Linked DNA regions of Danio rerio. The protein of the gene in region 1 interacts with the protein of each later gene in a pairwise test. Links are inferred from orthologs where the notes say so. Each region holds a gene or a part of one and is shown on either strand. Other genes may lie near its edges.

Region 1 (4,035 bases):
CAAAAACGCTCCCACGTTATCTTAAAAATAAATGTGCCAGGACGAACTAAATGTTGTTTTTTAACAGTAATGCCATTAAAGATGTCTGTGGTGCCTAAATAAGCTTTTTAGCAAAAAAAAAATGTTTAAAGATAAAAAATACCTAAAAATAATTATAATTAAAAATATTTTTTATATAAAAAAGCTTTTATGATATTAAAAAGGACAGTTCGTGAAACTGATGCCAGTAGCCTACATATCTTTTATTTTTAATAATGTCGTTTTTTTTTTTTAAATGTAGGCTAATTTTGCACAAACTGAAAACTCTAAAAATACAGCCGAGAATGCATTTATATTATAATCAAACATATAAAGACACTTGACACAATTATTAGACTTTTGCATTTAAAAGTAGGCTAATATTGATATCTATTTGAACAACAGTTTAATTGAATTAATTTGTCCTGATCGTCTTTTTCGAAAGCCGAAAGATTCGAATTAAGAATCAAATTACTCCGCTAACAAAACGAACACGAACACTCAGAAATAAACCAAAATAAATGGTGAGCAACGCCACTGAGCAGCTGTAAATTGACATCTCACCTGAGCTGTAAGAGCCGATGTCAATCCCCATCGCCGGACTCTTCCTCTTTCGTGGCCTTCCTTTCTGCACCGTGCCGGTGCCATTGAAGTAAGGCAGCGCAAGCCCTCCGCCTTTGGCCGCTAATTCAGCGTAGTTTAATTGAGGGTGATACTCTCCCTGAATAAGGGTCTCAAAGTGAACCCGGCAGTAAACCAAGTTGTCTTTCATGCCGAAATGGTCACCCGTGGTCAGTGTTTTGTTGCATGTGGTGCAGGTGAAGCAGCTCAGATGGTACACGGAGTCCCTGGCGCGCATCACCATTTCCGAAGCGGATATGCCGAGGTGGCAGCGGGCACATCTCTGCACGGAGAACCTTCTGGAACAGCACACACCATTTACAATCAAACATAGATTGATGAAAACATTTAGTATGTCATTAACAAATACGTTTAACATATAAAAAGCGGGTGCACGTGAAATTTAGATATTTTTATTAATCAAAATCTTTTAAATGCACGCATTTGCTATTATTTATATATGTGTACATTTATTTGGAAAAATGGTTGTATCTTCTATAGTCTGACATAATTCGTTTTCCTTAAAAAAAACAACTGGCTAAAAATTGAATAGAAAAATAGACGCACTGAGCATGAATTAATTAGGTTTATTAGATTAATTTAGGCGTGTCAGTTAATCACTGAAGATCACTATATGGGTCAATGGCTTACACTAGCTCAGATGTCACCAGCCTTTATGTGTGTTCGAAAAAAAAAGTTAGGCCTACTAAACAGGCCTAACGCAAGATTTAAGCCTCAAAGTTAATGCTTACCTGTAGTAATCCTCTTTGCAGTAAATGCTGCCATCCTTTGCGAAACACGTCAGTTCGGATTCAAGGGCCAGTTTACATTCACAACACTTGAGACACCTTAAATGCCACTGTTTATCAACGGCGAGTAAGTAGTATCTGTCGGAGATTTTACCACCGCAGCCGGCGCACAGCGCAGGCTTCTCTGGGCTCATGGAGGGCATAGTCTTTAAAAAAAAAAAAAAAAAACATAATTGGTGGAGTAAATAAAGGTTTCGGCGTTAATCAAAATACACCACAGTAAATGAGTTTGCCATTATAGATATAGAACTTAAAGTAAATTCAAAAGCATACTAAATGAAACTGTATATTTATTATTTTTATGTTTTTAATAAAATTATGAGTGAGCTTTCTCAATTATCAAACCAAAACTAGATATGATGCATAACTACACATTGCATGTTTTGTTTGTTCTGTGCTTTGATTTCATTTTAATGAGTGCCTAGTCTAAAATATAATTTAAAAAATGTTAACGAAAAATGACTATTTCTTATCACAAAAATTATTATTAAATTTAATACAAGCCTACAGGTTATTAACTGTTAAATATTTTGTCACTTGCTTGGCAAAAACATATTGATCTTATTTTTGTCGTTTTTGGACATCTTACCCCTAAAATAAATATAAGGAATGTTGTGAAACTGCTAAAATAAAATAAAATGTCTGTAGATTTTGGCTCAAATGTGAAATTTAATTTTGGCATATAACTCTCTTCATGCTTTATAGTTACTCTTAGGCATTTCAGATGTTATTGATATCCTCCGTAATTACTTTTTGCATGTTTCCAGAGGCCTGCTAATGTTTTAAAATCGTACAAATGTTTTCGCTACGTTTTTAAAAGTGGGTTACAAACTATGAGGTGTATATAGCGACGGGAGAGTTTGACATTTGCTTTAACGTAAAATGCACGCCAAAACACAAATTCTTACCGTCTCCCGTCCGTTCATCTGGACGGTTTTTGCTAGTCGAGACTCCGATTTAGATCTCCTCTCCATCTCCTCCATGATCCCTTGAATATGATCCCCAGAGATGCCGTGGAAAAGCATGGCTGCTGGACGCAATGTGCAACTGCTTTCTTTCGCCTTGCACCCCACAACTTCCATATACAGCTTTCCGGATCCTTAAAACATCCGAGTGGATCTACACCAACAGATTCACAACAAAATGCAATCAATGTGTTACAAAAATATTAAGCCGGTGGAATTTGATGGACGGCGCAGGAACAGTCAGGAGAACCAGTCCACTTTCTCCAACGTCAGAAAAAAGTATAGTCCGGATGATATAAGGCAAAACTGAAGTCTGGAGGATGTTTTAAACGTGGGTTTTCAGATAGTCCCAATCTCCAACTGAGGATCCGAATGCGTGAAAGTCGGGTTTGGGACTGTGTGTGTTAGAGATCCTGTGTCCTATTTGTGAAGAGAGCAAACGCCTGCCCAGCTTGGGTAATTGGGTAGGAGGAGTCCTCCCTCTCTCCAATGCCACTGATTTCTATTCACCAACAAAGACCTGTCACTCTCTCTTCAAACCGATGGTGATGGGCAACACGAGCTTGGAAAGCACTTGGTATAGACCTTTTACTTCCTTTTTAACTGGTGTTTTGCCACTTTGATTTTTTTTGCAAGGCCTTCTATTTTTTCATGTAGTTTTAAGCTTTTGTAAATGCGTGTAGCTAAAATAAGTGTTTAATTGAGATTGTGAACACTAAAAACACTTGGTGTGGACGTTTAGTTCCTTTCAGAGACGTTGTGACACTTTTTGTTAGGTTTTTATTTTTTCTCATGTAGTTTTAGTGTCTGTAAATGCGTCTAATTAAAATTAATGTTAAATTATTGAGACTGTGAATACTGTACTTCATCTGACCTCTCTTGTAGTTTTGAGTCTTCTTGGAAAAATGTATTTGAAAATTGTCAGAGAGTTGCTTGTTAGTTTATCGCGAGTGTCATTCATAATTAACTCCCAATAGCAGAAAAGAATATTACGTTATATATATATATATATATATATATATATATATATATATATATATATATATATATATATATATATATATATATATAACGTAATATTCTTTTCTGCTATTGGGAGTTTATATATATATATATATATATATATATATATATATATATATATATATATTATATATATATATATATATATATATATATATATATATATATATATATATATATATATATATATATATATATATATATCTTGTACTGCATGAATTCAGGTTAATGTAAAGTATAAAAGACGCTAATCCTTTAAGTACATTGTATGATATATGTACAATTAAAATGGACTAAAGTGGTGGCATAATTTAAAAAGTTGTCAGAATGTTTCATAAAGGTGTGTGTCTGTGTATGATGGTCTTTCTCTTCATGTGTGTTTTCGGGAGAAAGAGAGAAAGGAGCAAGCGAGGGAAGGGGAGCGATGCTGTTGGGAGGAGGAATAAGCAGTTGTTTACATTCTTTGATTTTTCAGATGTCAAACGTCAATTGAATCCCATTGCCACAATTTATTTTTCTGTACGAATATATACGAGGGATGATCGTAAAACTACTTAAGAATAATAAAAAATAAATAATTGATAGCAACCTTAATCCAA
Region 2 (3,522 bases), on another chromosome or scaffold:
GTCTTGAACACTAAACTGAATGTTCACTTTCCACATACTATGTCCAAATATTGCAGTTTAATGACCACTAAACAGCACAACCGAGCAATTACTGGCAACTGCATTTATAGCAGTACCACATAATAATACTATTTAATCTCAAATCAATATATAATTGTAATTGTTTCTATTTATTTGTCAAGCAGCCGTGTAATAAGTGGGATGATCCAGTTAGATGCTCATTATCTCAAAATAAACCTTATGCAGAATGATACAAAACTCTCTGTTGAGGTTTGTTTATGCACACTAGTGGACTGTACAGTATCATTTACTTTTATTTGCTTTGTCTGTATAGCAAATTAACATATAAAACCAGCTCTTATTTTCATTTCTGCCTTAAATAATGTTTCTCATGACTACAACCTGTTCTGAAAACTTCCAAATCCATTTCCTTGTCTATGAGGAGAAGCACACATTGGCTTATAATCACTGTTATCTTATAATAACAGCCTGAAGCTGACTATTTGTCTGCGCTGATGACTGTTATTGAATGCTTTTCTGTATACAAACTGACAGGCATCCGCTCTAGAGCAGTAATCTAAGGTTTTTCCACTGCAGATCTTGCACTGATTCACTTTGTGACAGTAAATAGTTTTGTATTATATGATTACAGCGAATCATATCAAAATAATAGAGAGTGATTATGACCTATCAGGAACATTTCATAAACTGACCATTCTCTGTGAACACCTGATTGTTGTAGTCTAAAATCTAAAAAGCACTTTCATCAGCTATTCTCTTTGTTTAATCAGAAACTTGCCAGATGTTTCTGTAGAAGATTTTTCAAAGGTGGATCTGAGCCAATACAAGTGGGTCCACTGGGAGGTGAGCGGGTCCGCCAAATATCTTTCATTTGCTACATATTAAAACACACTGAAACGTCATTTAGTTACTTCTGATCTTTATTTTATTCCACAAGTGGAGAGCTAGAGCTGATTGTTTTATGAATGTTTTGTCAGGGCCGTAATGCTGACGAACAAGTGAAGATGATTGAGAGGGTGAGAGAGTATAACAAAAAACAAGACGAGAAGAACAGAATCGCCATCTCAGTGGAAATCGAGAAGACCAGGGAGCCGCTCTACCAGCTTTTTCCTCTGGGTGATTTGGTATGATTAAACTCTTGCGAATAAAAAGTTGATCATTATTTTGATTTTAATTAATTTCTTTGTTTTGTGGTTTATTAACTTTGGATTTATTAACTGAATAATAGTCAAATGTTGATTGTGATTTTGGCCAGTTTACACATTAATAACCCTTTAACAGGCATCTTAACCACATGGTTTACCTTTTATCCATAGGTTATTATAATTTTTTTAAATTGCTTAATTTTGTTGATGAGAGTTGTGTCAGTATATTATTTAATACAAGATGTGGGCCAAATAATATTTTAAAGGAGTGCACCTTAAAGCTTTAATAAAAATCTATATTATTAAAAAATATTGATCATCCGTCTGCGCCAATAGCCTAGTGGTTAAGTGCACTTACATATAGCACCATGGTGCTCACGATGACCCGAGTTCGATTCCCAGCTCGGTCCTATGTTGACCCTTCCCCTCTCTCTGTTTTCAACTATTTCCTGTTAATTCTATGCACTTTTTTTATCCATTAAAAGTTAAAACCCCCTAAAAATAATTATAAAAAAAGTATAGATCATCCAATCAGCAGATTAAATGATTTCTAAAGGATTTTGTTAGGGTTATGAAGGATTGTGTGTTTACCAACCTATTTTGTCCAGCTACGTGCCTAATTAACCTTAGTTAAGCCTTTAAATTGGACTTTTAGCTGAATACTACAGGGTTTCCATGCTTTTTGAAAGCACTTGAATTGCAGACATATGGATTCAAGGCCTGGAAAGTACTTAAAAACAAACAGGTCCTTAAAAGTGCTTGAACTATTCATTGATTTTCCTTTGGCTTAGACGCTATTTATTAAGGGTCACCAAAGTGGAATAAAACCCCAACTTATCCAGCATATGTTTTACAGCGGATTCCCTTCCAGCTGCAACCCAATGCTGGGAAACATCCACACACACTCAAACACTTACACCACAACCAGTTTAGTTTATTCAATTCACCCTTTTCAACTGACCCAGCCAGGACTTTAACCAGCAACGTTCTTGCTGTGAGGCAACAGTGCTGACTACTGAGCAACCGTGTCACCCTGCTTAAATTATATTTGAAATAAAATTTGTTTATAGTGTTATTTCAATAATTGTACTGTGCAGCTGTCAAAAACAGAATAATAATAAAAAACTTTTAAATCTTAAATTATAATCTGACAAATAACGCACGTTTTAGCAAATTTATTTATAACCAAGATTGAATTCAACTAATTTTATTAAAGTTTTAAAACGGTCAACATAAACATTAACTGTAAGTGAAGAATTCAGTATGGACTTTCATTCTGCTACACATGCTGGGCTGTGAATTACAAAGGTGCTTGATTTAAAATGAATGGTGCTCTAAAAAGTTCTTGAAAGTCTGAATCTGGTAACCATAAAAGACTCGGAAGCCTTATACTATTGTTTAGCAAATTTACTAGTACAATATTGTGTTCTGTCATCATATCAATGACAAGAAATTAGATATTAGAAATTAGCTATTGGGTGGCGTGCTGGTGCAGTGGGTAGCGCTGTTTTCTCACAGCAAAAAGGTTGCTGGTTCGAGTCTCGGCTGAGTCGGAGGGCATTTCTGTGTGGAGTTTGCAATGCATTGTCTCCTCGTGTTCGCATGGTGTTCCTCCGGGTGCTCCGGTTTTCCTCACAAGTCCAAAGACATGCATTATAGGTAAATTGGGTAAGCTAAATTGTCCGTTGTGTATGTGTGTGAATGAGTGTGTATGGGTGTTTCCCAGTGATGGGTTGCAGCTAGAAGGTCATACGCTGCGTAAAACATATGCTAGATAAGTTGGCGGTTCATTCCGCTTTGGCAACCTCAGATTAATAAAGGCACTAAGCCAAAAAGAAAATTAATGAATGAATGAACTATTGTTTAAAAAATCTTCTCTGTTAAACAGCATTTGGGAAATCTTTGAAAAATAATTGAAATTTCACAGTAGGGATCATAGTTTTGTTTTATACATTTTAATGCACACTTAGTTTATGAAAACATTTAAAGAAGTTAAGCTTTCCGTACTGCACTGTTACATGGAGATGAAATTAAAATATCTAATAAATATGAAGTATATAGTAGACACAATGTTTAATAAATGAACATGCATGGAGCTCAAAATTTAAACAAGCCTGTGTTGTTTTCTTTTTAAATTCTGTAGAAATTCGAATGTGATGTATTATATACAGGCCAGCTATTAAGCTTGCATACATGTTTGGACACCGCATAACCTGTGTTATCTGTTTTCACTCAGGTCTTTGTTAGTAAGGATGTGGCCCAGCACTTTGGGTTCGACTCAGCTGCTGCAGCACTGAAGGGTTTCAGTGGTCGACTGAAGAAGGGGTGAGTCTGTCTCCTAAAATGACCACTAGAT

What was found. The genes of interacting proteins can lie anywhere in the genome.
Region 2: the proteins of lhx9 (region 1) and khk interact in binary tests that used the Homo sapiens proteins (3 or more experiments, as listed by UniProt). The two-hybrid records come from large-scale screens. The link is inferred for Danio rerio from reciprocal best matches to the Homo sapiens genes LHX9 and KHK.

The regions. Positions count from the first base shown.
Region 1 is NC_133197.1:23,080,425-23,084,459, forward strand, and holds the start of lhx9 (LIM/homeobox protein Lhx9), read right to left. Parts: upstream 2,815-4,035; 5' UTR 2,531-2,814; coding exon 2,357-2,530; intron 1,595-2,356; coding exon 1,392-1,594; intron 939-1,391; coding exon 583-938; intron 1-582. UniProt on the Homo sapiens protein: Involved in gonadal development.
Region 2 is NC_133192.1:13,617,009-13,620,530, forward strand, and holds part of khk (ketohexokinase), read left to right. Parts: intron 1-791; coding exon 792-864; intron 865-998; coding exon 999-1,145; intron 1,146-3,402; coding exon 3,403-3,491; intron 3,492-3,522. UniProt on the Homo sapiens protein: Catalyzes the phosphorylation of the ketose sugar fructose to fructose-1-phosphate.